4 linked regions of the Arabidopsis thaliana genome follow. The protein of the gene in region 2 interacts with the protein of the main gene of each other region in a pairwise test. Each region holds a gene or a part of one and is shown on either strand. Other genes may lie near its edges.

What was found.
Region 1: the proteins of AT1G60010 (region 2) and AT4G35110 interact in a two-hybrid assay, tested with the Arabidopsis thaliana proteins (one large-scale study listed by BioGRID).
Region 3: the proteins of AT1G60010 (region 2) and PKP-ALPHA interact in a two-hybrid assay, tested with the Arabidopsis thaliana proteins (one large-scale study listed by BioGRID).
Region 4: the proteins of AT1G60010 (region 2) and BBX16 interact in a two-hybrid assay, tested with the Arabidopsis thaliana proteins (one large-scale study listed by BioGRID).

What each region holds. Positions count from the first base shown.
Region 1 is NC_003075.7:16,710,555-16,718,413, forward strand, and holds AT4G35110 (phospholipase-like protein (PEARLI 4) family protein), read right to left. Parts: upstream 4,238-7,859; 5' UTR 3,763-4,237; coding exon of another isoform or gene 3,749-3,762; 5' UTR 3,672-3,748; coding exon 3,649-3,671; exon of another isoform or gene 3,456-3,648; coding exon 3,310-3,455; intron 3,230-3,309; coding exon 2,934-3,229; intron 2,847-2,933; coding exon 2,106-2,846; 3' UTR 1,861-2,105; downstream 1-1,860. Other genes in the region: AT4G35120 (Galactose oxidase/kelch repeat superfamily protein), read left to right, coding at 6,252-7,084, 7,127-7,463.
Region 2 is NC_003070.9:22,094,785-22,101,703, reverse strand, and holds AT1G60010 (D-ribose-binding periplasmic protein), read left to right. Parts: upstream 1-5,083; 5' UTR 5,084-5,269; coding exon 5,270-5,555; intron 5,556-5,648; coding exon 5,649-5,779; intron 5,780-5,939; coding exon 5,940-6,044; 3' UTR 6,045-6,419; downstream 6,420-6,919.
Region 3 is NC_003074.8:8,135,746-8,144,338, reverse strand, and holds PKP-ALPHA (Pyruvate kinase family protein), read right to left. Parts: upstream 5,155-8,593; 5' UTR 4,971-5,154; coding exon 4,368-4,970; intron 4,269-4,367; coding exon 4,178-4,268; intron 4,073-4,177; coding exon 3,879-4,072; intron 3,687-3,878; coding exon 3,565-3,686; intron 3,425-3,564; coding exon 2,946-3,424; intron 2,870-2,945; coding exon 2,568-2,869; 3' UTR 2,287-2,567; downstream 1-2,286. Other genes in the region: AT3G22961 (Paired amphipathic helix (PAH2) superfamily protein), read right to left, coding at 1,530-2,201; ARFC1 (ADP-ribosylation factor C1), read left to right, coding at 6,826-7,017, 7,616-7,975.
Region 4 is NC_003070.9:27,775,775-27,783,298, reverse strand, and holds BBX16 (B-box type zinc finger protein with CCT domain-containing protein), read right to left. Parts: upstream 4,316-7,524; 5' UTR 4,086-4,315; coding exon 3,168-4,085; intron 3,038-3,167; coding exon 2,777-3,037; 3' UTR 2,490-2,776; downstream 1-2,489. Other genes in the region: AT1G73875 (DNAse I-like superfamily protein), read right to left, coding at 3-35, 121-213, 439-511, 631-680, 906-987, 1,329-1,381, 1,455-1,520, 1,594-1,757 and 1 more; AT1G73860 (P-loop containing nucleoside triphosphate hydrolases superfamily protein), read left to right, coding at 7,322-7,524.

The sequences.
Region 1 (7,859 bases), on a different chromosome or scaffold from region 2:
GAAAGGATAAAAAGGAGTGGAGCCAATAGAGTTGTAACAACCAGACAAGAAACGAGACATTAAACCCATTTTTTCCACCGCACTCTAACTTTTCTTAGGCCGCGTGTCGCGTAGCTCATGTGTTTATCACATGGGTAACTTTTCTGCGTCTAGTTACCGTATTGTTATTGTTATTGTTATATAGTAGACTCCTTTTGGCTAAGAGTCTTTAGACCCACCCAAACGCATATGTGTTTGGATGTATTAGGAAATTATTTGTATAAAAGACTTTACCAACTTAATTGAATAATGCATTTGATTAAAGAGAGAAAAAAAAAAGAAAATGCTCATGGAAGCAATAAGCACTAAATTTGTCTATGGGATGTAAATTGCGACAGTGAGAGTTGGCTTTAAAATAGTATGAATACAAATACGAATTTGTCTACATGGAATAGTAGTAATAATTCACGTCTCGTCTTTTCAGAAAAGTGAATGCAGAGGAGACAGAGAGAGAGAGAAGGACCACAACGATGGCCTTCACGCTTTTACTGGTTAATACGCCTAGTGTCTCAGTTTTAATTTTAAATACTTAGCCGTTATGATCGATTCTTCGTTATCTCTTCTTAGCTTCAATATGGTCCACTCATTTTGAACTTTGTAAACCCTAGCAGCTTATGAAGTATGAACCATCATATAGTTGGGCCTTAAATTTTGTTTTATAATAGCTATTGCTTTATTGGTTCTGGATAATAGCAATTTTGCAAGTTGCAAAATACCTTATGTGACCGGCCGGTTCACCCCTCTGCTTATCCCTAAACCGATTTACTTTAACCGATCTGATGCTGTATAGCTAAAAACATAAACTTGAAACAGACAGCAGCTGAGTGTGAAACTTAGTTGTCTGTCCATTTTTTTGAAAGAAATGATGTCATAATATGTTGACAAAAAACATCTTCAACTTTGGATATAAATCACTAATTCAGACTTTTTAAAAGTTGCGAACTTTTTTAATCATTCCATGTTACGGATTATTTTTTATGTGTCTGGAAAAATTGGCTGTCAAGGTGATTTCACGTGATAACTAATTTGTTTTTTTGAGGTCATTTGCCATCTTGTGAAAGCCTTTGGAGCCTACTTAAAGATTTTATTTTATTTTTTCTAGTAAAGACGATTGAAGTAACTGCTGTCTATTAGTTAAGATCTGAATCTCCAATGAGGTTATTTATAATTACTTACTCACATTGTGCAACAAAACCAAGCACAATTTGTGGTCCACAAACCTTTATCTGGAGGTTTCTGGTTCAACTTCTCCGGTTTACACTTAAATCTTCGTTTCGTGAGCAAACCCAACGGGGAGCTTCCCGTTGGGCCATGTTTCAGTGGGCTCGGTGTAAAGCCGACATGAGTAACTGAAGCCCAGTAGCATTGTCGCAAATAACAGATTGATTTGTCCGTTGCAAACGGTTTAAAAGCAGAGTACGATACTTTGTTACTTTTAAAAATATCAAATCTAACAATTATGTAACAAAATCAACTAGTGAATAACATAAAAACATAAGATATATTTGGCTTTAAAATCCCCTAAAAATCATCGTTATGGAATAACATCTACTTTTCGACAAAAACAAAGTAACAAAAAAATCGAAGAGTAGAGCTCAAATTGAGTGTAATAAAGAATGAACTCAACAAAATTATTCATTCCTTTATTTTGCAAAAGTGTTGTTTTGACATTTTCTATACACATATTTAAAAGAACTATACTATACAATATTCAACAAGTTCTGCTATAACTAACACAATAAATATAGTTGTGAATTTAATTTTTAATAAACAATCTTTCGTTTTCCAAACTCGAAGGCAACTTGTAATCTTTCCCATTATAGAAAACGAAAGAAACCAAAAAAAAAAAAACATAACCAAAGAAAAATGCATCACACAAATCAAAACGTATTTATTAGCAACAACCAAATATCTTAATATTTTTTATAAGTTACCAATAAATACCAGCTTTCCCATAATACTTAAAAACCCTAACCTTAAAAACTCATTTATTAGAGCATTTTTGATTTTGTGCTATTACCTACTACCCTTGGCTTACTACTAACAACATCACACACAACTCAAACTCACAGAAGCTCATCTATAAACGATTTCCCTTTAAATTTCTCCATTTTGAATCCCATTTTCTCCATCCTCAACCGTTCTGCTTCGATCTCAACCATCTGAGCCCGCGTCTCCTCAATCCGCCGCTTCACTTCCACCACTTCCTTCTCCATCCTAACCAAATCCGTTTCTTGAGCCTCAAGCTCTTCTCTCTTAGCCTTCACTAAACCATCATGCCTCTCTTTCTCATTTTCTACATCTTCTTGAGACTGCGCAAACTCTTCAAGAACAGAACGTAGCCAAGCTACTTCAATGTTCACAGACTCCAAGTCTTTGAGAACCGCAAGCATCTCTTTGACCTTGACTTTGCTCAACTGCCCTACCGGGGTTGACCTAAGTTCCTGCATCAGTGAGCATAAACACTCGAGGTAACGTGATCGCATTGAATCCGATTCCAGCTTACAGTTTTGAGCAATGTCTCCGTGCTTTTCGATGACAGCACTTAGTATAGTGGATGAACCCGATCTGACTCGGTATTTCCCGACAGAGACAAAAGTGTCAGACATTACTGATTCGAGATCGAGCTCTACACCAATCTCATTGTTGTTTTCGTCATCATCATCAGAAAAATCATCATTGCTCTCTTTTCCAGGCGATCTTGGAAGGCTTAGGAAACTAAAGAGTCTAGTTTCGCCGCCTTCTCCAATCTTCCCATTGTGTTCTTGTATTCCCGGTTTAGGTGATACCACTTTGCTTTGATCAACCTTCATAAGATACAAGAATCTTGATGTTTACAAATATGGTAAAGATATGGTGGTCGAAATCATGGAAGAGAGTAAAGGATGAGATACCAAATTGTTTGATGAAAGGGGAATGGTTTGAGAAGGTTTCTTCTCTGGTTTATGGTTGAAGAAATCATCCGGATCACCGGATGATGAAGAAGTGAAAGAATTTTTCGTTTCAGAAACAATCTTCTTCTTCACGGAAGCAGGTGGAGCTACAGAATGATGAACCTTTGGGGAATTACCATTTGCAAAACCGCCTCTGCCGTTTTGATAAGGCCTTGCGGATAGCGGTGTAGGCGGTTGTGAATTCGACTCCTTCTTTTTCCTACCGAAACTCCCTGAGAAGCTAAGAAGCCTTGAACCTGTAACATAACAGAACAAGAATCAGAATCCATAAAGGAAAAGTTTTTAAAATGGCAAAATCAAAAGCAGAAAAAAGTACTTTGCTTCTTAGTGTTCTTCTTGACATGGCCTTGAGCAATTTTCTCTAAACAAGCTGAAGCACATTCATGGAAAGGATTATCCGCATATACGCAATCTGGATGAGCTTTTCTATTGAAATCCATAGCTTTTTGATGAATGGAACAACTGCAACAAAATCAAGATAACTAATCAGCTCAAAGAAGACAAACTCAAAGAACAACACAAGAACTTCAAATTTGTGGTGTCAAAGGACTGAACATATCACATTAAGGGTAAGTAAGTGGTCAAACCTTTACACCTTAATTTCAACAAATAGTTCAAAAAGATTAGACACTAAAAACTTATAATATACAACAACCTCCCAACGAAATTGGATTCCATTCATATTTCACCAACCCTTTATATGATGAAAGAAAAAAAGTAAAGAGGGAGATTGTGAGAAGCAGAGAGAGATTCACCAAAACATATCCATAAAGAAATTTCTTACGAGTAATAGTGAAATTGATCCCCACAAAACCAATCAAATCATAAAATGTATAGGTATAGAGAGATACAAAAAGACGACTTTTGGTTTGTTTCTTCTCCTTAATACTTTCATGGACCGACCATGCAATTTCCAAGTACAATTTTCCAGTGAGATACTAAATTTCAACGGTGGAAGCACTCAGTTATTGACTTAGACCAGAGTTAAAAGGTAGATTATTTTGACCGGCTTGTTTTCTTGAACAGACAAAAACTTCCAAGGCCCACCCTTGTGGATAATATTTTTTTAATAGGTTGAAATTTCGTTTTCCATGATTGTCGTTTGTCACAAAATTTCCTTAGAACAGAGCAAAGAAACAGAGCATATGACAATAAAACAGTATCAATCAGTTTCATCATCGATCATTGAATTAATTCTTAAAACAAAAGCAAACCCACGATTCTGATCGAGATCAAGAATCTATTTGTGGATCAAAGAACCAAACTTTTAATTCACACAAAAATGCAATCAATCAACAAACAGAGAAATAAAGAGAAAGAGAGAGAGAGATATACCAGGAGAATCGGAAGAGGGAGAGAAATGTGATGAGCGGAGAAAAATGAATAAAATGTTGATTTTTATTTTTGTTTATAAGGTATAACAGTTGTGTATATTATAAGGTTCATGTGACATTGTCTTTGGTATAATAATAATATGATGATGATGATGAATTGACCAAAGCCAATATTACCAATTGAAGATAGAGAGAAGCATTTAATTGAAAAGAGGTTGGAAACGGCAATCAATCACACACCTCACTTATCTTCCAGAAGTGGACAACAACGTGGGACGGTTATACAAATACGAGTGAGATTTTTAGAGTCGACGAGAATCGAAAGTAGAAATCTGTAACCACTTAAAGGAAAAGAAATTTAAGAGACAAAAATAAAGAAAGAAAGTTGTCAGTTAAAACGCGTTATTGCGTGTCATTGTTTGCATCACACGTGAGGTTCTTAAGAATCTCAAGTTCTTAACCATATTGCTATATCTCTTGTCTAATTTTATGCATAGAAGTTATCTTTTTTTTTGCTGTCCATTATTACTTAACCAATAAAACTTAGACATCTTTCAATTAATAAATATAGATAATATAAAGTTATGTTTACATTGGATCTCTTAGTATTTTTTCTAATTGTTGTTGCAGATAAGTATAAATCAAATCAAATATATAAATATCATTACTTGCGAATAAGTGTTGATACCAAATTTTCTGATAATATTATGGAGATTGCTTAGGTAAAACATATTTTTATGATTCAATCCGAAGGAAGGAAATTTTCTACCCGATTTGTCAAAGTGCATGCATGTTGATCCGATAGGAAACAACATTTATTATAGAATCTGATAAAAGCATCTTTTTGTTATTAATTGTGTCATCTTTCGTAAGTCGTAATTTTAGTATTAGTACAATATAGTTTCGAAATGCGAGTAGCTTATCCAGAAGCGATAAATGACCATTTCCCCAAAAATACTTTCATCCTTTTTTGTTGGGGGTCAGACTTCATATCATGAAGAAGAAGAAGAAGAAATACATAGAGTCAACTCTAGAGCGTTGGCTTTTAAAAAGACATGAAAAGATTTTGTTAATACTATAATGCACATTCTTTAAATAAATCATTTAGCAAACTACTCTAATACGACCATTCTTTTTCATTCATGCAACATGTCTTTTTCTTTCCCTGTTGTTCTCTAATTTTATTTTACTCTTCATTCATTTGTCTTCGTTGGTGTTTCTTTTTTCTCTTTTTTTTTTCCAGAAAATTAGATATTTATGACCAAATCCATATTTTTCTAATAAAAAATAGAAATATTGTCAGTATACCTGCACAATCGTGTGAACGAGTCACCTGAAACATGATAAATTCTTCTTTCCCCTAAAGCTTACTCGTGTCTCCATCAAGAAATCTTCCAAGAAAGAGACTAGTTTAGTGCATTGTTAGAGAAGTCTCAAATCCTATGACTATGAATCATCAAGCAAGTTACATTGTGTAAGTGTATCTTTCTGTCTTTCATTTTTTTTTTGTGTATACATGTACATTTGAAGGTATACCAAAATCAAGGGAGGGATCTTAAAAAAAGTTTGAAAGCAGCATAGAAAAGTTCTTTATACGATAAATCCATAGATTTTCTTATACGAATTTGGTGAGTTCGGTTTAAAAAACTGAACACCGAAATTCCAGTAACACAACATAATGTATATATAACGATGTGTTGTTAATTGTTATCGTTTTTAATATTACTTTAGTTTTCAAACCGGTTTTAACAGGGTTCAATACTGAAATCTGTTTTAAAAACGGGCGATTTGGTATTTTATTTTAATTCAGGGGACTTGTTCATTAATTTTAACTAAGGAGAAAATATTTCCTTTTTACTATTGTCTTATATAAGACCTAATTTGAGACCTAAAACCTGAGCTTAGTAAACACGGTATCGTTGCTATGGACACCGCCAAAGTAGAACCACCTCAGGAAACGAAGAAGACGATTCTCACAGCTCAAACTCCATTATCTATGTCGATTTCATCACTTCCAGATGAAATCGTTTTAAGTTTCTTAGCCCTGATCTCTAAATCGTACTACCGTTCCCTCTCTTTAGTCTCCAAAAGCTTTTACTCTCTTCTCTCTTCTACAGAGATCTACGCGGCCCGATCCCACATCGGAGCGACAGAGCCTTGCCCGTACGTGTGCCTGTGGTTACCCAAAAAACATCGCTGGTTCACCCTAGCCGAGATTGAGGGTAAACTAAGTTTAGAACCGGTAAGGCTCTCTTCCTCTTATCCTCGTACTCGAGTAAACTCAACCACTGTAGCTGCTGGTACCGAAATCTACAAAATCGGCGGAACTGTCAAGGGCAAGCGATCCAGAGCTGTTTTTGTACTTGATTGTTGGACTCACAGGTGGCGTCGTGCTCCTAACATGAGAGTGTCAAGGGTAGGCGCCAAGTCTTGTTTTTTAGACGGAAATATATATGTAATAGGAGGATGCAGAAAGAGTGAGGAAGAATCCATGAATTGTGGTGAAGTTTTCGACCTAAAGACTCAGACTTGGAATCCGCTGCCTAGCCCTAGTGTTAATTATGCCGTCCATTCGAATCACAAAGTTGCAGTTTCTGGAGAAAGGCTATACGTAATCACCAAGCGTAACAACTATGCATATGATCCGAATGAAGGAAGATGGCTACCAGACGTGGGGTCTGTGGATTTACAACCCATAACTGGACCTTGGTCCGGCGGTATAGAAAAAGTTATGAAACCTATAACTGGACGACCTTGGTGCGTTATAGGAAATATAATGTTTGCTGATCATGTGTGCAGGAAGTACACGTGGTATAGCTCAAGTCATCGAGCGTGGCAAAGAGTTATGGGTTTGGATGTTCTATACGATAAGCGTGGTTGTGGCTACCGTACGATTCAGTTAGTTAACTATGGTGGGAAACTGTTAATTATATGGAGCGAGTGGATCATGATTCTAGACGGGTATTCCCTTATTCGCAGCCAAGAGAAGGAAATTTGGTGTGCTGTGATTAGGTTGGAGGAGCGTATGTCTTATTTCGGACCCCAGATTTGGGGGGAGGTTGAGAGCTGCAATGTTGTTGTGCCTAGCGTCCCCAAGTCTTATCAGCTCTCAAGTTGCCAATGTGTTTCGGTCTGAAACTCATCTTTGCTTTCAACACATTATTTGTGGTTTTGTTTCTAAGATTGCTCACTGCAGTTTTTGTTTTGTTTTGATTTCTTGCTATTTCCTTTAAATCAGAGACAAGCTGGCAAGCTGTTTCATAAGATTTTTAATATCGTTTTCTAGGTGTTTGATCTTGCTAATTAAGTAATTTTTTAAAGATCTTTTAGAACTTTTTTTAGTTAGTTGTTTAGAGATGGACCTCATTAGATTGTGCTTTTGGGGTTAGTTGACTATCTCTGTATTGATCTGAATGCCAACACCAAATCCAGCTCCATCCTCTTTTCTCTTCCCATTTAAACCACTCTTTCAAAACCACTTCTCTTCGCATTAGCAAGTTTTATCTATCTCTATCTATCTCTCTATCTATCT
Region 2 (6,919 bases):
TTTTCTCATCACAGGAAGTAACTCCAATCTTATCGCTCAATTTATTACATGTTTGGCTAATCGCTTCTCTTTAAAAGATTTGGGCCAGCTGAGTTACTTTCTTGAAATCGAGGCGACAAGGACGAAAGCAGGATTACACTTAATGCAACGTCGGTATGTTCTTGACTTACTTACCAAAACAAAGATGTTGGACGCCAAAACAGTCTCCACTCCAATGTCGCCAACACCGAAGCTGACGCTAACATCTGGCACTCCCATTGACAATCCCGGAGGATACCGACAAATACTTGGCAGCCTTTAGTACCTCGGATTCACAAGACCTGACATTGCCTTTGCAGTCAACCGTCTCTCACAATTTATGCACAAACCGACCGATCTACATTGGCAGGCCATGAAACGCGTACTCCGTTACCTTGCCGGGACTCCATCGAATGGTATTTTTCTTCGCGCCAAAAACCCGTTAACACTTCATGGCTTCTCAGATGCTGATTGGGCAGGTGATAATGAGGATTATGTTTCCACCAACGCATACATCATATACCTTGGCGGAAATCCCATTTCATGGTCATCCAAAAAACAACGTGGCGTCGCTAGATCCTCAACCGAAGCAGAATACCGTGCAGTTGCAAACGCAGGCTCCGAAATTCGATGGTCATCTCACTTCTCACTGAATTTGGAATACCATTGCCCACTACTCCCGTCATCTATTGCGATAATGTCGGAGCAACATATCTCTCCGCCAATCCAGTTTTTTATTCTCGTATGAAACACATTGCCTTGGACTATCATTTCATACGAGACAATGTTCAAGCTGGGATACTACGTGTTGCTCATATCTCCACCAACGACCAACTCGCTGATGCTCTTACCAAGCCTCTCTCCCGCCAACGTTTCACAGAAATAAATAACAAGATTGGAGTCATACAACTGCCTCCATCTTGAGGAGGTGTATAGAGGTTATGTATAGTTAAGGTATAATTGTAACTAGTATTACCCTAATCTCTCGTGTATATATATTGTAATCACAACCTCTAATGATAATTAAGCTTCACACTTTATATATCCTTCTCAAATTATTTGTACGTTATGTGCAAAGATTTTATTAATAATCGATGTGTTCATTGATTTTTTTAATAAAAAATAATGACCAAAACTCAATTATTTTTTTTAAATAAAAACATTAAAGACAAAATTTCTTTCATGGTCTGTGATAATTGAAATATTGCATGTTAAAAGATGACCTTGCTCTTACTTTTTTTTGTCAACAACCTTGCTCTTACTTAGAATGGATAAGTATATATGAAATAATACAAAACATTGTATTTTTTGTTATAAATTTTTGAATACTATAAGTAAGTATAGCGATATCAGATCAACCCGTTGAAGTTCCTAAAATTTACCAAGAAAAAGTAGGTTCAAATTTTTTACAGCGGCATTGTAAACAACGAAACGAAGACCAGCCAAAACAAAAATATGTCCAGTTAAGATCGATTTAACACACCTGTTTTACAATGTTACAAGATTCATTGTGGTTAAAATAACATAATTAGATGATTTAAAGGGCTGAATTAATTAGTATTTGGTCATGGATTGGGATGTGCAATTATATCGATGTAGAGAACAAACTTGAAAATGAAGTTTCAATCGTCAAAGACATTTAATAAGTTGAGAGACGAAAGACCTTCCAACACCTTCACATGGCACACACACACACACACACACTCTGACCGTTGTATCAGATCATGTGTTCACACATGTCAACAATTAAAGTCTTAAACTAAAAATATAAGCTAAATCCTCGGGATTTAATTATACTTAATTTATTTTCATTATTCCTATATACTATTTAATCATCTCAAGATATTTCACCAACAAGTCCAAGATGCTCTGGAAGAATAGGCTGGTTTTGTTTGTGTTTAACGAAAGTAAAAAAGATTATTATAATTTGTGATGTTGGGTGGATGAAGAACCAAAGGACACAATTTGCGATCCAAAATCTTTTCTTTTTTCTTTTGCGTGTTGGTCGCCGTACAAACGTCAATGTGATTAGGTCTCCGTATATATGCAAATCTGAATTTTAACTTTAGCTATTATTATTTGTTTTACAAAAAAGGTTTGTACAAAATCAATGAATGGTGAAACTATTAGGTAGGGACGTACGTAAGGATGTATCCACGAAGGACAACACTTTTTAATATATATTTTTTGCAATTTTAAAATATAATTTTGATGGCACACTACTGATAATCATGAGTCAGGTAAATTACTTTATCATGAAGATATTTCCTTAGGATATCCGAATTTGCGGTTCTATTTATAATAGGAATTGATTACGTCATGTGAGTATTTGCATATTCTTGATTTTACGGACCAATAACTCGAAAATGGGTCCATAGTTACTGTATATCGTTTGGTAATAACTGTGATCATTAAAATCGTAATTTGAATAAAATGTGTATAGTAACATAAAATATCGCACGATGGTCTCTGTATCTCATGTATTACATTTTAACATTTACTTAGCGTGGCTGAAATTTGGGATTGCAGTGATGGTTGATTTACCGGTTGTTCGAAATGTAAAACTACCATATGAATCTTATAAGCCACTGCAATTTACATGACGTATCACATTCACATATATTAGAGAAACTTAGATTCACTAGGTTAATTAGTGTTTCTAATTACAAAGTAGAAAAAAGTTTGAGATCATATAACATAAAATATTGTAGTCTTTTAGTAAAAGTGGTTGTAATACATGTGCGATAAGATTGTTTTTTAATAAATCCTTAAATGAGCCCTATAATTACTACTCATGTTATAACGAGCTAATAGAACATTACTTGACTATTACTTCACTACTTGTCGAGTTGAAGCTATATATTTGCACCTCTTGGTTTTGTTGTTGGTTTTCATATTTCTTTTTGAATTGTTAAACCTCGTATATGGTTTTCTGAAATCTTTATGTCCCGTGTCTTTAAATTTTAAATCTAAAATTTACTTTAAGAAAAGTACAATAACAACCCTATAAAAATTTGAGTCAATTGAGACGGAAGAACTATGTACTTTATAGATTTCTCAGTATTCTTCCACTGATAATAATCAGATATATAATCATTCCTAGAAATCTCACTTTAGTTCGTCTTATAATCAAACCCTAAGTCCTAGCATATCTCTTCCATACGTAGTCATCATTAAAGTGGTGTTTTTAAGATATTTTTTTCCCCCTGGAAAAGATAACGTTAGTTTTATAAGATAAAAGAAGATGATGATGTAAGAAAACAAATACTTTAGGGGAAAGAGAGATAAATGACAATCATTGTGTGGTTGAACGTATAATATAGTTACTAAACAACAAATAACTAATGAGCTATAGGGGTCGAAGTTTGACAACAACAACAACAAAAAAAAGAAGCTATAGGGGTCGAAAAAACTTTCTTGCATTGTGGATAATCTCTCAATACCAAAAGTAGATTTTGCTGGTAACGAATATAGTAGTCACAATTGTCCATTTCAGATGGGAGTGAATTTCCCATATGGGTTCTTTCGTGAAGGAATGGGTACATTATATTTGCTATTCAAGAACACTAATGGGACGACCCATTCTTAGCCCTGAACCAATCTGCGACATGAACCGGAGTTCAAAAGAACCAAATCGGTACTAACCGAATGAATCATGCAAAAGTAAATAAAAACAAAAATAAAATGTCAAGAGAAAGCATTTAAGTCCGTGAAAGTGAGAAAAAAGAGATAAGAAGTTGCAGTGTCCCTTGTCCACCCAATCCACAATTTCTGTTTTTATTTATCTTTTTTTTTTTTGGGCTATTTATCTACCTATACTTTTGTTTATTTCTTTGCCCAAAAAAAAATACTAGCTTTTTTTTTGTCTCCAATTTCTAAAGTATTATTTTATTTTTGTTTTTTTATTCTTCATGAGTGGTACCAAAATTGATTTTTTGGATCTATTAGTTAGGTTATCTTCAGCTATCTCTGATTTTTTTTCTTATATTCGTCTAAATCTATATACCATATCGTTTTGTCCATGGTCCAAGTTCAACGTGCATTAAATGTTATATTCGGTCGAATTTGAAAATATGCAGAATAATACATAAGCTTCGGTGGTTGAAGTCTTGAAGATGAACTCATATCAGTATGACTAATATAGTACTATTTGGTACCCATTGTTATAATTTCAGTGTTAAACGTTATCTATACAAATGAGCAAAAGGGAAATATACACACAAAAAATCAGTACTAACTATCTTTAACATCATTTTTTCAAGTATATGCATGATGTTTATATCGAATTATGGGTAGTTGGACAAAAATAAACCTCTGTAAGAAAATATCGAAAAAATATTAGTTACCTATCGTTACGAAATTGAAACGTTACAACTTACAAGTGAAAAACGACTCGAAAAATATTACTTTGAAAATCTGCCGTTTCAAACTAATATTTTTCTCCATTCTTACAAACGTTACAAACATATTAAATTATAAATTAAACAAAAGAAGACAACACCTTACGTTTCTTTTTCAGAAAGTGCAATTTATGTAACTGATATTTTTTATTTGATTACACAAAAAGAAACTTATTAACTTCGGAACGATAAGTTATTCTTTGACAGTAGTAGTATAATCAAGTCCTAAATAAAAGTCAAACGCTACAACATTCGATGATTAACTGCTAAAAACTATGGTTTATTGGCTTATCACATGATCTAAAACGAGTAAGAAAATTAAATGCAACTTAAATTATATGAATCAGTAAGAACAAAAACAATGTCAAAATCATCGGTCCCTGATCTCCGGTGCCGGCACCCACCCGTTCAAATCAACTATTTAATTTCCGACCATCCTATTACTCTATTCCATTAAATTTTTAAACTCCAAAAATAACAAAAATTAAATAAAGTAAACGTCAGAGATGCCCCAGGCAACCACAGTCAAATTTGCAACAATATGGTTACAAATCTTTAAATAATATTATTATTCTTATCATTAATCAACTCCCAAATGACAGTCCAATTAAATAATCACAAAACATCATAAAAGTGACCAAAATTAAATAATAACAATTGTTTTTTGGGTTTCACATGTTTTATAAGCAAAGCCAGTGTGGTGGACCTAACTCTTCACGCTGTCCCGAAAAAGACTCTTCTCTTCTCTCTTCCTCTTTCCTTCACACAACTCTCTCATTCTACTCTCTGTTTTTTTTCTTTAATCATAACATTTTTTTGAAGAACAGAGATTCTTTTTGTTTGTGTAAGAGATGGGAAATTGTCAAGCGGTTGATGCGGCTGCGTTGGTTCTACAACATCCTGATGGCAAGATCGATAGATATTACGGTCCTGTATCCGTTAGTGAGATCATGCGTATGTATCCTGGTCACTACGTTTCTCTTATTATTCCTTTGCCGGAGAAGAATATTCCGGCGACAACAACAACAACAGATGATAAGAGTGAGAGAAAGGTTGTGAGGTTCACGCGCGTGAAACTTCTCCGACCAACGGAGAATCTTGTACTTGGTCATGCTTATCGTCTCATCACTTCACAAGGTTTGTTCTTGTATATTTGTTTTTGTTTAGCTTGTGTCTGTTTGTGTTCTTGTAATGGGTTTCTGATTAAATTAGCGTTTGATTTGTTTTCAGAGGTTATGAAGGTTTTAAGAGCCAAGAAGTACGCGAAAACAAAGAAACACCAAAGTGAAACGAGTAAGGAGAAGAAGAAGCCATCATCGGAGAAGAAGATTGATGAAGAATCCGACAAGAATCAGAATCTGGTACGGAATCTTTACTTAGAATTTAAGATATGGTTTAGCTTCAAGAATCAATTTTCACTCGAATAATTAAAGTAATTAGTTTAAAGATTTTACTCTATTTCTTTCCCCAAATTAATATAAAATTATGAAAATTAATGGGTTTGTGTTTTTCTTTGTATAGGAAACGAAAGATGAGAAGCAACGTTCAGTGTTAACGAATTCAGCTTCATCGAGATCAAAAACATGGAGGCCATCATTGCAGAGCATCTCTGAAGCTACGAGTTGATGTTTGGGTTTTACGTGAGGGACAAGAAACGTAGTCTCTGTGTGTGAATCATTCAGAAGATGGAATCTGAAGAAGAAAGAGATATAAACATTATTGAATAAACTCTTCTCTTATGTTCCTTTCTGGTTATAATTTACATAGGAGATGAAAATTTTATAGATTAAGATGTAAAAAGAACTATGCAGAGATTAAGAACTAAGTCCCTTTTTTGTCCTGTTAATGTATATATGTGCTCCATGTGAAGAAATCAATCAAAAAATAGATTGTAAAAACATACGTTTTTGTTGGTGTTTACTGGTTTACACAAATTCTTGGAATAAAGTTCAAAAAACTTTAGTTAAATGAGTCCAAAAACATTTGATTTAGATGGTTATGTGAGGTATAAATGGTTGTAAGAATTGCATTGAGTTGGATTGATCATTGGTAGGTACACATCCTTTCATGCATTTATGGGATGGTTTTTTAAGAAAATAACCAATTTTATTTGAGATTATTAGTTATTTTTCTTCAGAGAAGTAGTAGACTTTCTCAAAATTTATATTTCTTTGAATGGAAAATCAAATTGAATTTACATTGTCTTTTTTTTTTATAACTACTTTTTTCATTTTTTTAGCAAATAGTATAACATAGATGAGCTAAGTAAACCAACAAGGATGGGCATTTGCATCAAACCCATACCAAACCAAAAAATTGAACCGATATTATGAATCAAGAATTTAAGATATCCTTGAAATAAAAAATCTGAAAATCCAACTGAAGCCAGCCAATGTTTTTAGACTCTATAAAAAGATATCTGATTAATAAATTGTTACTTTTAATTTTAATTTTTTTTTAATCCAGAAAACAAAAAATCAATGGTCAAAACATACATAGAA
Region 3 (8,593 bases), on a different chromosome or scaffold from region 2:
AAGGTCCCTATTCTGACTATATATAATAATTGAATTATTGAACTGTTTCATGATTAATCTAAAACTTGTGAGTCTTTTGCATTTAAAATATATGATTGGGTCCATTTGCTTCTATTTTAATAGAAATGGGACCATTGGTTTAAGTGATGCAAACAGTAGAAGGGAAGATATGATCAAATCCTCCAATATTATTTGATTTACATTAATTTAATCTAAACTATATAAAAATTACGTTCTCTAATCTAGTGGATTAATTTAAACCACCAGCTTAGTTTTTATACTTGACGCATTCAATTATGTTGATATGTTTCTCATTAGTGTCGGAGTGTAAAATTGGTGTTGCAAAATAGTTAAAATCATTCTTTGAGTGAGTTTCACGGTTTAATTTCGGAATATTGAACATAGAAACGATTGGTCAAGAGGACCCCAAAACTTTCGGAAAGATATTAAAATGAACCGTTGTGACAAGTAAGTCCGTAAAAGTAGTTTATATCACATTTTAGAAATTTTATCAATTGCCAATTTTTTTTTTGAATAACTTTCAAAAAGATAAACAGACATTTGTTCTTTTTTTTTGTAATAGAAATACTACTTTTAAAAAGAAATTACTATTTGAGATAGAGCTACGATTTTTTTATTCTTTCGATCAACACTTTTTATTTATTTTAAATTAAATTTATCAACTAGTTCTGAGGGTAAATTTATATATTTGAACCTAAAATAGAGATATTCTTGGAAAAAATAACATATAAGTGTAGTAGTTCTACAAATTATACACAAATAAGTGATTGTTTTTGTAACTCACAGCACCATCTTTTTTGTTTCACTCGAGGCCTCGACCAAAAAAATTTGGTTTAACTTTGATTGGGGCGAACTAATATATCTCTCTCACCGGTCCATAGCAATAACAACATCAAAAAGCAATATATTGACGATGATTATATATTCGAAGATGTTGGGTTAAAACCTGCGGGCCTAAATGGGCCAAACATTAGAAAATAAGCCCGTCATCCTTAGAATGTAGAATCCCGAGTTTACGTAGCAAGCAAAGAAGGCATCAATGTATAAGTGTGTTAAGTGTGAAAATTGACGAAAATAGGCAAAAAGGACAAGAACATTTAAAGGCATTGTGTTTGTTATGTTTATGGTATCAGAGTCTTTTAAGAAGTTTTCATGAACTTTTTGATAACCAAAGTGTATCAGAAGTTTTCATAAACTTCCTAAACACGTTTTTAAATCAAGTGTGCATAAAAACTTTGAAAAAGGATTCATTACGCCCTCCTAAGAAAACAACGTTTTTTTTTTTTTTTTGGTGAATAGAAAACAACATTGGAAGACTCGAATGCAAAGAAACATAACGAGATTCACAATCACAATCACAATGTAGCCACAAATCAATAATAAAAAAAAAAGACTAGAAAAATAAAAGAAACAAAACTCTCTTCACTTGTTCACATTGCTCTTTAGTTCTTGACGGTCATAGCTTCGTTTTTACCTTAAATTCTTTCGCATCAGTCATCTTCGTCTTCTTACTCTTGCATCAGTCTCTTCTTCTTCACTTGATCCAGATCATACTGACTCTTTGAAACGTATTTCCCATTTAAAAACTCATCAGAGGATGATAATTCCTCTTCAGTTTCAAGTCTAGTCTTATACTCTTCTGCCCCCGCCTCAAAACCACGTTTCGGTTTTTTGAGTAAACGGGAATCAACTAGAAACAATATGAACTCCTCTTTAAGAGATGCGTGATCGCAGAGAATCACGTCGAGTTGTTCAACCAAATCCACAATATCACCGCCAAACACCAGCTGATTTAGGAACGCACCGTGTAAACCCTTTCCCAAACCTTCCACTTTCTTCATCAACTCAACCGTGCGTTCTACGTCTGATTTTGCCGAGTTACAATCCTTCTCTGTGATAGGTGAATCTAATAGAAGAAGCTGATGGAATTCTTGGAGCAGAGCGTCGTGGTTACGAAGAATAGAAGCGACTTTGGTTTTGAGATCGATGTAACTTAAAGACTTAGATCGATAAGACTTCATTGCATTTAAAAATTTAACGATGATTGTCTTATCATCCAACTCTTTAACTTTTTTCACGAACTCGCAACTCCGTTGAATCTCTTCTTCCGAACAATCCGACGGAGTTTCATAAAAATCTCTCTCTTGATTCTTCATCCGAGGTCTCTTGCAACTTTTCATGTTTGTTCAAATATCTTCTCTAATGGAGAGGCGATTCTAATTGTGATTATATATACACTATTTATAATATAGGGTTATGGTATATATTCGAACTCATCCTATTTGGGTTTACATATATATCCTAACAAAAAGATAAAACAAAAGGACTAAATGATAGAATCGAATATTTGAATAAGATTACTGATATTATTGAAAACCAAAAACAAACAGTACACACTACAAACAAAGCTTACACATTACTGTTGTTAACAAACCGAAGATGATGATGCCTCTGGAATCTAATGTAAGAGTAGTCTAAAAACAGTAACAAAAGTAGGAAACAAAACACTCTTTTGCGGGATTGCGAAATTGTATAAAGAGAGAGAATTACGGGACGTTCATTACCTGGATTGATTGCAGCATGTCCGAGACTGCGATCACGAGGTCACCAGATTTGATCATACCTCTTGATTTCAGTAACGAGAATGTTTTGTTCAAGTTGCTTTCCATGTCGTCTGAGAAGCTGAGACGGAATGGGATAAGTCCCCATTGTAGGTTTAAGCGTCTTCTCACTGAGGTTGTGGTTGTGAAAGCAAAGATCGGGCAGTCCGGGCGACATCGGGAGACCAGTGATGCCATGTGTCCGCTCGTTGTGTAAACGAAAACCGCGTCCACTCCAAGATTGTTAGCTGCAAGTTTTTGGATAGTAAAATGAGACACTAAAGACATATTGCCTTCTATGGAAAACAAAGAACCTAAATTTACCCATTTTAGCAGCTGAGTTACAGATCTCTTCTGAGATTTTGTCTGAAAATGAAGAGCCTATGGCTTGAAGCGGTACAGACTCATGGCGTTTCTCTTCCCTCCACCATCTCTCGATTCTTAAACTGACAGTCCTTAGAACCGTGAGCGCCTTGTCTGGGAATTGTCCCATAGCTGATTCTCCAGAGAGCATCAATGCATCTGATCTTTGTCTTACTGCTTCAGACACGTCGGCAACTTCTGCTCTGGTTGGAGTTGGGTACTCAATCATGGACTCCAATAGCTGTGAAGCGACAATGACGGGTTTGTTAAGAGCTCTGCATACTTGGACGATTCTCTGTTGAGCTGCTGGAACTTGCTCAAGAGGTATCTGAGCTCCCAGATCTCCTCTTGCAACCATGGCCCCATCTGATGCTAGAATAATTTCTTCCAAATTGGTCAGTGAATCGATACTCTCGATCTTTGCAATCACTCCAATTTCCCTGCATCATAGTTGAATACAACATCAAAATAAAACTATAACTAAAGATGGTGAATACATGACGCAAAACCCAATCCCAAAGTAGATCATATGTTTCCTGTACAGTAGTATGATGTGTTGATATTGAGCATGTTTACTTACCCTCCACGGGAACGAGCAGCAAGATAACTTTTAAGGTGATTAATGACTTCAGCCGACTTGACAAACGATACAGCAATGAAATCCACACCTTCAGCAATTCCAAAATCAATATCCAACCAGTCCTGAATATAAAGAATTGAGGTATCATCAGTGAAAATGAGTATGTTTTCCCTCAGGTATCATCTGTTTTGCTAACATGGACTCATCTAGTTTCCAAAAGTGTACATCTTCACCATTGCTTTGATCCCTCCCAAATTTACCAAGTAAAGTGAATCATAATTCAAAGCTTAAAGGGAAGATACAAAATTACAAACCTTGGAAGAAATTGTTGGAAGCATGGCATTACGCTCTCGTACAAGACTTCCATCTCTCCAAAACGTCAAGTTAGCTCGAGGAAGCAACAATCCAGGATCGGTACATAGACACTTAACATCAGGACCAATCTTCTCAATCACTTCAAATCTCACCATCCCACCATCAACCAAAAGTTCATCCCCAACTCTTACATCTACACCACACACAAAGACCAAATGATTCCTATTTCATACGCAGTCACCATAATATTCATCTAATGTTTTCACTTCCACTTTTACATAAACATAATTGCATATACCTTCAGCGAAACCATCGTAGCTAACACTAATGGTACGTTCAGGACGAGAAGAATCAAAAGCTCTAACAGTGAAAGTCCAAACCTCACCATCCTGTAAAAATGTCATCACCACCAAAGCTTAAACATCTAAATCACAAACACAGCAATGTCTACATCGAATTCAAATCAAAATAAGAAGAGATTAAACAACCTCTGCTTTAGCTGAAGCTTCACCACCAAGATCTCCCATATGAATCTCACTACCTTCAGTATCCATCATAATAGCAACCGCAAAGCCTTTCTCCTCATTAAGCCTCCGAACACTACGAATCACACCGCGGTGCCAATCACGCGTACCGTGACACATATTAAGCCTTGCCACATTCATACCTCCCACAGCAAGCGCCTCAAGCTGCTCAAATCCACAAGTCGCCGGTCCGATCGTACAGATCAGCTTCGTCCTCCTCGTACTTCTAAATCCATTCTCCTTAAGCTCAGCTTCCGTCACAGTATCAACCTCAATCCCAGACGTATCAGTCGTAACCGCCGTAGCGACAACGGATCTCTCATCAGACTTCACAGCACCAGTACCGTTAGGTGAGAGAAGTACTTGCGAGGATGATGATGAGGACGATGAATCGAGATCCGGTGAAGGAGATGATGACGAGGAGGCTCTGATGGAAGTGTATTTGATGGTTGTTAGAGGGAAGCGACGGAAGGAGATAGAGGAGAGAGGACGGTTGAATTGTGAGTGAGGGAGATGGAGAAGGTGAGGAGTGTGTGAAGGAGTGGAGAATTGAATAGACTGAGACATGGTTTCGCCGGCGACGGAGGAAGAGAGATCGGAGAAATCGAAATCGAAATCTCAGGACAGTTGGCTCTGAGGAGAATGAAGGCGGAGATATCGAAGTGTGAGAGTGTTGAATTTGGATTTTTTTTTTTTTTTCTGATATGATAGGACTTTGGGAGAGAGGTTATATTTGGAATATTTGTATTTGTATTTATATATATATTCTATGTTTTGGTGCCGTCGAGGCTGTATGTAAAATAAGTGTACCTACCCACCTAAGAATGATCAAATTAGATTTTGTGATTATTACTATTATTATTTTTAATAAAATATTAAATTCGACCAAGAAAAAATAAAGTTAGGATACATCAAATGTAACTTTTCCAAAATTGTTTTGAAATTAGATTATACAAGAGAGGTTTTAAGGACTTTTAGATGCAAACCATGTTTGGAGATTTGGTTCGTATCTACTATATTTCTCCTTTCAAATGATTGAGAGTTTTTTTTTTTTCCAGCTTATCTATTCACTTAGGAAGATGTGTGATAAGAATCAGAGTTTTATTGTGTGTTTTTTTTATTGCGTTCTCGCCAAATCGAATGAACCATTATTTGAAAACTGTATTAGAGGAAGAATATATGGATTCTGTTACAGTGATCAGAAGTAATAATAATGACTAGAGCTTGCCATATTGTAGAGAATCGTCACTAGAGTAGTGGTTTCGCTAGGGAGGACCAGACTGCCGACGAGTACTTACAGCTGAAAAACAAGTGCTCTCGTGTCTCGATAAGAGTGTTACATAACACACATGTTCGATTCAAGTTCACATTCCAAGCCTTCATTGAATCTAATGTAGAGAGTCGATTCCGCATTGCTAGCCATATACAAAAAGAGAACTATCAACTATGATAGGATCTAAAAAATCCAATTAGACTTTTCTAGAACTATTATATATATATATATATATATATATATATATATATATATATATATATTTTAAATCATCGTATACAATAACAAAAATAAGATTCGTTACCAAAATTAGCACAAATTTAATAATAAAATAATCAATATAAGCATTTAATTAACATTTCACACGATCGTATTATAACCATGATTTCAAATTATAATTAAATTTGTTATTTTAAATCCTCAATATAATTTACTTCTATTTAATTTTATATACTTCTGTGGGCCGAGAAAATGTAATTGTTATAATCTAAAATATATGGAAAGGCCCTAAGCCCGTTTGAGTTTTTTTTTTTCTCGTTTAAAAACATCTTTGTGGATTTCAAGTCTTCAACAATGTTCGTCTTTGGCGTCGTGGCTAATGGCGGTGACGTGTTCGGTGCCATTACGGTAGAGGCTGCAGCCGTTTGGGTAAGTAAAAGAAAACATTACTATATAGTTTTCATTTTAATATTTGTTATATTAAAAGTTATTAATAATTTAGATCATCATATTTACAGTTTTGACATTGTTTCCCGCATACTTTTCTTCTTCTTCTTCTCTCCACCCATCTGCTTTAAGGAAGGAACCTCAAAAGCTTACAAAATAGTAGAAGAAGAACTTTTTTTGATCTCCGATTCTTACCTCTGCAATCTTCAGATTCTAGCTGATTCAAGGTTTGATCACAAATTTCCCGATTTGTATATATATAATTTAGATTTGGTTAACTTTATCGAATCTGGGATCGTTGTATCCAAATCTGATCTGGGCTTCTCTGATTCAATTACTTGGGTTTGTAAAATTGATGGGTCAATTTAAAGGATGTATCTTTAGGGTTTCTCGATTTCACTCTGTTTGTAGAACAATTTGATCGTAAAAGTAATGATGTGTTTTATTTGATTAGGATCTTGTTTGTGATAGAAATTGGAGGAGATGGGAGCATTCATGTCGAGGTTTTGGTTCATGATGTTTCCTGCAAAAGAGTATAAGATTGTTGTTGTTGGTTTGGATAATGCTGGTAAAACGACGACGCTTTATAAACTTCATTTGGGTGAAGTTGTTACTACTCATCCTACTGTTGGTAGCAATGTTGAAGAGCTTGTCTACAAGAATATTCGCTTTGAGGTACTGGACTCTTTCTTTATTCATTTGGGTGAAGTTGTTTCTTAGCTTCTTATCTAGGGACGTGTTTTAGAAGTTTGAAACTTTATGGATGTTTCTTAAATTTGCCATTGCCATCTTTTGATTGTGTTATTGTCCCTAGCTATGTTTCTTGCTTGGGTGTGTGCATTTTTCTCGTTGAAAAATGGATGATGTTTTTGTCTAAGTTCTTGTCATGATTGGTTGAGAAGGTGTCAGAAACTCATAATGAACGTTTTCGTATGTGCGATTTATGGTTTTGTATAGTAAATTTTTGTAGATGTTGTTTATCTAGCTTGTTTGTTATACCGGAGGAACTGTTTGCTATTTCCCATTAGCTTAGTTTTTTTGCCAGAGGACTGTTTGGAACATCTTTATACAGTGGTCAAAGTCATGGCCTGAGATGAATTCATCTCTGTTTTATGACAATCTGCATGTGTTCTTATATGTCAAAACTCAATGATGAATATAAACGTAACTAAACTTACTAAAGTTTGAATTGTTTCCTGTCAAAAACTAACTGTTGGACACTGGCAATCGAATATTTGAGGCGATGTTTACTTTTATGATATGTTGTCTTTAGGTATGGGATCTTGGTGGGCAAGATAGGCTAAGAACTTCATGGGCAACATACTATCGTGGAACACATGCTGTGATTGTGGTTATAGATAGCACAGACAGAGCCAGAATCTCTTTCATGAAAGATGAGCTAGCCAGGTTACTTGGTCATGAGGATCTTCAAAACTCGGTCATACTAGTTTTTGCAAACAAACAGGATCTGAAAGACGCAATGACTCCTGCTGAGATCACGGATGCACTTAACCTTCACAGTATCAAGAACCATGATTGGCATATTCAAGCAAGTTGTGCGGTTACTGGAGAAGGATTGTATGATGGGCTCGGTTGGATTGCCCAAAAAGTTACCGGTAAAGCCACGAGTTAAGGGGAAACCAGAACTGAATCAGAGAGAGTACGTACTATTCTTCTTTGTTTCTTTTGTCTCCTTCATATGTTCTTTAACATTGTATCCTCTTGACTTTTATGTAACAAGCTTCAACTATTTTGGTTGCTCTCATTGAAACTGTGTCCAGAATTTTCATATATGGAAGAAAAAAATCTTGTTTTGTTTCAGATTTAAAACTACCACCAAACTCAAAATCCAAACGAACTAAAAACAAAAACAGAGCAACCATTAAAACAAGACAAGACACCATTGTAGCCTCTCTCAGAGCTCACCACAGTCTGCGATAACCACCGGCTTGGAAGGAATCCTGTTCAAAGTTCCAACCTCGTCTTCAATGCTCCTGAGCACGTCGAGTCCTTCAACAACTTGCCCGAACACGACATGTAAACCATCGAGAAACGAGAACTTTTCCAAGACAATCTGGAACTGAGATGCATTGGTGTGGGGATCACCGACGGCCACTGTGCTAGATTTTCTTGTGGTGGCGTGAATTTGGCACTGTGGTCTTCTTAAATTAAGAGACACATCAAGATCAATAGATTTTTTACTGCACAAATGAATCAATTTTTTTTTTTGCCAATTACATCAAATTCACTG
Region 4 (7,524 bases), 5.7 Mb from region 2:
ACATCAGCTGAAGCTATGAAATCATAGATTGCACTCTGTACAGCAAATCCAGAGTAAGTTTTAGAATTCAGCTAAAAAATAAGTATTAGAACAAAAAAAACAAAAGTTGGTAGAGATCACCTGTGGAGTGCTATTCAGATCACCTGCAATCGCCACAGGAATATTTCCCCATTCCTGTGATAGCTTGTAAGCCTTCTCCAGAAAGAGTCTTACCTATAAGTTATGACATATCAAATATCAAGAAATGAGCGAGCTACTTAGAATTTCAATGAAGTTTCAATACTGACAGGCATTGATGTACTGATGAATACCATAAAATAGTACTAGCTAAAAAATTGACATTTCTAAACTCAGGATGTGTAGTGACAGAAATGCTCTACCGATTTTATGGATAAGCCAGTTTTTATCAGAATTTTGTAAGGATCTAGCAAGACATACCTGGCCAAGCTTGATATCCCCACGCTTAGGATTGAATAGGACATGTATATTCCCAACCACTAGCCTTCGAGGACTAGTAGAAGTTTGCATAAATCAACCAAACATGGAAGTGCGCATAAAATTTAGTAAGGATCTTAAAAGTAAGTTCAATATTCACTCCAGTAAAGGAATCAGAACAGAACTCAGACATACTCTGATGATCGCACCCGTAATTTAGACTTTGGGTCCTCCTCACAGTTCATCTGTTCCGTAATAGACAATCAAGTAAATTAATTAATTGCAAGGGCTGAAACTAAGAAAATTAAGCAATTAGCCTGCAAAGCTGAAAACACAACAGGAGGGAAAAATATATAAAATAATGCCCACAATTAAGCTTGTCATATCTCTGTGCTTCTAGAATCAAGAAAAGACAGAGGAGAAAAGAGGGGGAAGACGACAATACAGAAATAACTTAAAACGGTGCATACCTCTAAAACACAAAGTTGAGCAACATTGTTTCGCATACCAAATTTATCAAACTCTATATGTTGATGGTCTAGAAGTTCAAATCTGCATTCACAGCAGAAATATAACATAAATGATGAAACTAGTAGAGTAAGAGTCTAATACAAAATAAATAACATCGAGAACAATAGAAAGCAAAGCTTTCAGCCTTGAACAATATATTGTGAAGCCAAGGTCAAAGCTGATAACATAACACAACGTGAACCTACCATTAACAATTTCGAAACATTCAAAACAGATAACTAGAAGATCTAATTTATCTCGTTCCAAAAGAGAGATATTCCCTGTAGACAATTCAAATGGCTAGATTCCTGATCCTGACTCCAGCATATAGAGACTTCCCACCACATTAAAAATGATCCTAAATAGAAAAAAACTGAACTTACAGATTCTCTTTCCAAAATATAGCACAACCATCACTCGCTTCTCCAGTCCGACTCTAAAAAATACTAAATGTATGAAAAAGGCACCATTGCATACAAGGTAATAAAGCTTTTGACTCGTATATATACCTTGTGAACACCTCGAAATCCTCTATTTTTAAGAAGAACATCTAAATCATCAAAGCGGTCAACCTCCTGCAATAAATTTGGACATGAGAATGCAATGAAACTTAAATAGTGTAGATCTAGGCAATCCCCTGGAACTTGCCTGAAGACATAAGATGCTTGCATTGTAACGACTAATCTCCTTGCATATGAGATGTTTCCGTCTACTCCACTCTAAGTGCTTCCGCGGAACATTGTAATACAAGTCCATGTGGTTCGACGCATTGTCAACACCAAGTAGATTGTACGAAACTAATACTAATTTATCTGAAGAATTGAAAAGGAGATATCAAGTTTTTCATACACATAAGATAAAAATGTGTTCAAAGTACGGAATGTGATACTTCGTGAAGCTAATAAAAGCATATAAGTGCATTATTCAGTGTGATTGCAATGCACACAGACCTGCTAGATTTTCAAAATTGTTTGCGGAAAACACCCATTCGCGCTCAACGGAACTCGAGATCTTCTCCTTAGTTCTCCGTCGCCGGCGGAGAGAAGACTTACTATGTCTGACAGGTTTACAATCACGCTGGCTGAATCCCGGCGTAAAAGAACGGTGAGGTTTTAAGGTTATTGACTCCTTCCTATTCGATTTCTCGTATACGTTCTCCGATTGTTCCGAAATCGAGTTACGCTTCCGCTTGGTGATGGTGATTGAGTTCGCCGTCGTGTTCTTACGCTCGTATCCGCTCATGTCAATCGTAGCAAGTCGGCGGCGCGTGAGCTATGCGTCAACCTTGTGAAGTTAACCAAATTCAGTCGGTTGAAATTCACGATTTTTACTGGTTAACGATTAAAATACGTACTTGATAACCCAAACCGGTTGGCTTAAGTAGTTGCCTAGTTGGGCTCTTTATGTTGGTTTTTTTAATTGTGTGATGGGCTATTCAGCCATAACTAGGCCTTAATGGCTTTTATTTCTTGCTTCATTTGTAAATTGTTGGAAATGGCATGTTCTAATTTGAACTTGTTTCTTGTTTTTTTTTTGTTTTTTTTAATTACACTTGTTTTCTTTGTAACATGTCTTCGCTACGAATTTTTTAGTGTTCGTTATTATCACACATTATGGCTTTTTTCTCCAATTCATTTGATAAACAAAGAGTTTTCATTTGATATATACAATAAATTACTCAATCAATCAATCTATAAAATCATAGTTGCCGGCTACAAGTCTACACAACCATCGGCCCCAAGAGTTTCAGTTCATTATTCAGTACATTACGACAATTACTTCAAAGGTCTTAATTACAAGATCTTTAAAGTGTTGATTAAAGTAAATCAAATCACGTCAAAAGTGACGTCCTCTTCACGAAACGACCTTTGATTCGAGGTCTCTGCTCAGCGTTAAGTTTCCGAACCTCATATCTTATTTTCTTTGAGAACAACCTCGTCCTCCGCTTCTCCTTGTACCTCAAAACCCTCGCCTCTCTCTCCCCGTCCGATCCTCCTCCGTCTCTCCCTTGCTGACGTGTCACCGATCCGTCGCTCGACATCAATTTCTCGTACCCACCCACAACATGAGGCAGACACGTGTTCCCTCCCAACTGGATCAGTGAACTTTATAACGTTATTTCGTCTTTTATAATCAATATATATCAGCTCAAAGTCAACGGAACTCGACACTACTAAAGACTAACATAGAGATGAGAGATATAGCTAGAGACACCAACTTACCATGCACTCCGGTTTGATTCCGGTTTTCCACGGCGAACCGTGATTATCCCAAGCACTAATCACAGCTCCATAATCTAATCTCAGAAACAAACTTGTCTTTCTATCTTTATCATTTGATGCTTCTCTATCACTATCCTTTGATCCTCCATTTTCACACTTGGCTTCTTCTTCTTCTTCATCTTCATCTTTCACCCTCTTCAAATCCTTACAATTAATCTCAAACCCTACTTTATTCTCTTCTTTGATGACTCCAACATCGTTTGGTTCCTTGAATCCCAAGCAAAGTTGTTCTTCCTCAAGTAAACTCTCCACGTCCATAGTGAGATCCTCAAGATCCATATCCAATGGCACGAACCCCATAAAACCTTCATCGTCCATGATTGCCTTCTCGACTTCTCCTAATTCTCCATTAGTAGTAGTGTTATTGACTTCATCAGGAACTAAGCAAAAGCCGTTTATATCATCAATCAGCATGTCTGAGAAAGGATCGAAAACAGGCACGCAACAATTCAGACTCTCCTCGGTTTCTTCTACGGAGGAGAACGAGAAAAAGCCATCATCTTCGTCTCCACCAAGCTCCGGAACAAGAGGATCGTTTGACTCGATTTGCAACAACTTCTCAAACGCACAACTCTTGCTCCTAGGCGTTCTCGCCTTTCTCCTGAATCCTTCGTACCATACCGACGTCGTTTTGTCTGCCGTCTCCGTCGGCGAAGATGATTGTAACCGGACACGTTCGTGCCGTTTCGCTAAATGGTTAGCCGAGTGGATCGAGGCGTCGCAGCTTTGGCATAGGAAAGCGTCATCGGCTGGACAGTACCAACTAGCACGTGATCTCTTCATGCACGCATCACAGCCACGCGCCGCCATCTTCTCTCCTGTCACGCTCGCGGTTCGGCTCTCTACATCGACCACCATTGTGTGTGTATATTACACAGTGAGAGAGTTGCTGAGATGGAGAGAGAGGCCTTGAGAAGAACAAAATACTGTAATATATATGGTTTTGCAACGAATTCACTAGTGTGTGTGGCGTCTCGATTTCCCGGCAGTATTTTTCATTTTTTTCAGAATTATTATTTTTTCATTACCTTGTGTGGTCTAAATTATTTGGAGTGGAGATAGAAATATAAATAAAAACTCATAATTCTATTCATAGTTTATTATGTACGTGTACATGGTATTTTAGAATGAGGACTTTTCACGAGTTTTTTACTTCAAATTTACAATTTTTGTTTTCATTATATTACGTACTTTCAAATAAATGTTTAGAACCATATACTTTTTTTTTGAAAAATTAGAACCATATATATACTTTATTCTTAAATAAAATTTTGAACCAATATGTCTGTAATTTTGCGCTCTCTCCGTTTTCATGATATAGTAAAATATGATCCTCAAATTCTTAATTACGATCTAACCGCTAGTTCATGTATGGTACTAAACTTCATCATTCTTTTCGGAAAATAAGTCATAGTGAAATACAGTTTGGTGAAGACACTGTTATAGATGGTGTTTTTTTTTCGTTGGCAAACACTGTTGAAGATGGTTAATATCAAATAATAAAATTGATCTTGTTGAAATATTAAAAGACAAAAAAAAATGAAAAATTTAAGTTCTGTGTAAAACTAGCTATTGGTGGTTAGTCAAGAGGAAACTTATAATGGAACCCACTGGTGATCTGATTCTGCCTCCTTATTGGTTGAAATATACTGTCATCTCCGTTTTTGCACTCTGATTGGCTCAAGTTCTTCCATGGAGATTCTTACGTGGACCCCACATTTTCAAGTTTTGTTTTGAAACTATTTTGTTTGTTGGTGCGTTTGCATGACCGCAACGCAGCGTGATACTTTAAACGCAGGAAGTTACTTTTCATCTTTTCTTTTCTTTTTTTGTATAGCAAACGACATTCTTTTTTGGAACTTCCAACAACACCTGTGAAGTTTTGTAGAACATTTAACATCCAACTTCTAATGTTTGATGATAGAAAAAAGGATTATATGTCACTAAAAATGTAAAATTTCTGCTTTTGTGATCTTAGAGATGGGTGTTTAATCAGCACCTAAAGATTCAAATGGGTCCTAAATTTAATTATTATCATTTATTGTGGATCTAACATAACGGAAATGATATGAGTAATGGAATTCTAGTCCTTTAAAGAAAGGAATTGATTGTGGTGATATAGCGACGTGACAATATATACAAATCAAGAGGTTGTGACTTCATCGAATTTTTGGCAATTTTGCAGTTTACGCCAAAAGAAACAAGGAAACAAACAATTTTACGCCACATGACCCACGAACAATTGAACATCTCTCTATCATAGGACTCGTTCCTCTGCTTTACACCACCATTTTATTTATATTACTTTATATGGAATTTACGCAAGTTATGTGACATGATATACAAACCTTAATTATATCACCATTCACCACCAAGTTGAAATCTGCACATTTTTGTGATACATGTGTAGAATTAATAATATAACCTATTGACGAACGAGTGAATTTCGGAAGTGGAGGCACAATAGGCCTTGATTGATATGAGAGACCACTTGCTAACATAGATGCGGGAAATCTTTTTGCTTTCATACGTCCGATTGCTCTGCGTTGAAGTGTGATAGATCGGTACTTGAAACAGTTAAAATTATCCCAACACTAATTAATAAGTATTAAGTAACAACAATAAAAACAAATATTCCTATATTAAAGCTCGATATGATAAATAAATGTATCACTACAACGTTTTCCTTAAATCTGAAGTATTTTCTTGTCTATTTTGAACGAAATTAAAGATCAATTTACCACTACTATATTTTTGGTTTTGTTTTCATAACCTATGGTTTTAAGTATAAAGTATGCTAACTCTATAATATTGTAGACGGTGGAAGTAAAGTACCACAACACGACGTGTGCCCAAATCATACATGATACATATTAAAATGTTCCGTTGGTCGTCGTACCCCAATTATATGTTACAAGTTAATCGTTTCTTAATCCAATTTATAATCTGTTAAAATACTCGTTAATTTTAGGCAAGGATTTGCCACGTGTAATAAACCCGTATAAACGATTGGAGAAGCCAAAAAAGACTTGTTAATTACTGCGCGTCCTCCTACATTCGCGCTCTCTCCCTCCGTACAACAAACAAACCCCAATTTTTTTTTTCCTACTCTGTATAGATAATTTTTAATCATTAGAGAAAAATTAATCGTTTAATTAGTTTACTATTATCCGCTAATAATAATCAAAAGATCAAATCAACCCACATTCCCATCACGTCTATTTTCTCCGTCTCTCTGTTTTCTTCTCTCAGGTTTTAGACCTCCTCAACGCTCGTTTCCAAGCTTTCCCGATAAAAACATCGTCTTGATTTTCTAAGGTAATGAGAACAAAGATCGCATCTTTTTTTCTTTCTCCTCATATCTTTGTTGCCATGTTGCGATTTTGCTGATCGCGACTTTGAGCTATGTTTTGACTTGGTTTTTCAATGTTGAATTTTTTTTTCTCTTGTTGCACCAATGTACCCTTCTGGTAGGTTCGTCTTTAGTTTTGTTTCCTTCTGGCTAGTTTTGTTTTATCAAGTTTTGTTCGATTGTCTCACGTTGCTGTTTTTGTCTTAATCCCTCAATTCATAATGCTGTATAACGGTTAAATCATGTGAATTTATACTGGGAACTAGAAAAAATCTCATCTTTGAATCCCTAGATTAATGAAATTAATGGAAATGTGATTGTTAGGATTTAGTATCGGCTTTAAATATGGAAATATGAGAAATTTCCTTATAATAAATTAAGAATTCTCAAATTCATCACAGTAATCCCTGACTCTGGTTACTATGTTTTATTGTCAGCTAAGATTTTTTATTACAGAGTAAAGCTGATTACAATGATGACTCTGAGATAGTTATGTCTAGCAGTGCCATTTGATCATGTTCTTGCACGTCTTTGCATGTAGGAAAAGACAAAAAGAACTAGGCTTTGGTTTTCTTTTCATCTAGATTGCTCTTCTATGTGTGTGTGTGTGTTCTTATGAATTTTGTCTAATGCTCATTTTCTTTCCCTCAATCAACTATGTTTCAGGAGTTTTTGCTAAAGAATGCAGCAGTTTTGGGGTTTCCAGGTGTTTCCATAAGTTTGCTTTGGACCTCGAGGCGTGATGAATCCTATGCGTGATCAACCGGGCAGCCCTTATGGAGATTCAACTCCTCGTAGTCCGTTTTCTCCCTTTTCTCCATTATCTGTAGATGATAGGCATAGAAATCATGCAGATACAAAAACTCCTCGTAGTCCTTTCTCTCCATTTTCTCCATTATCCGGAGATGAAAGGCACAAAAGTCTGGCAGAGTCCAAATTTCAGCA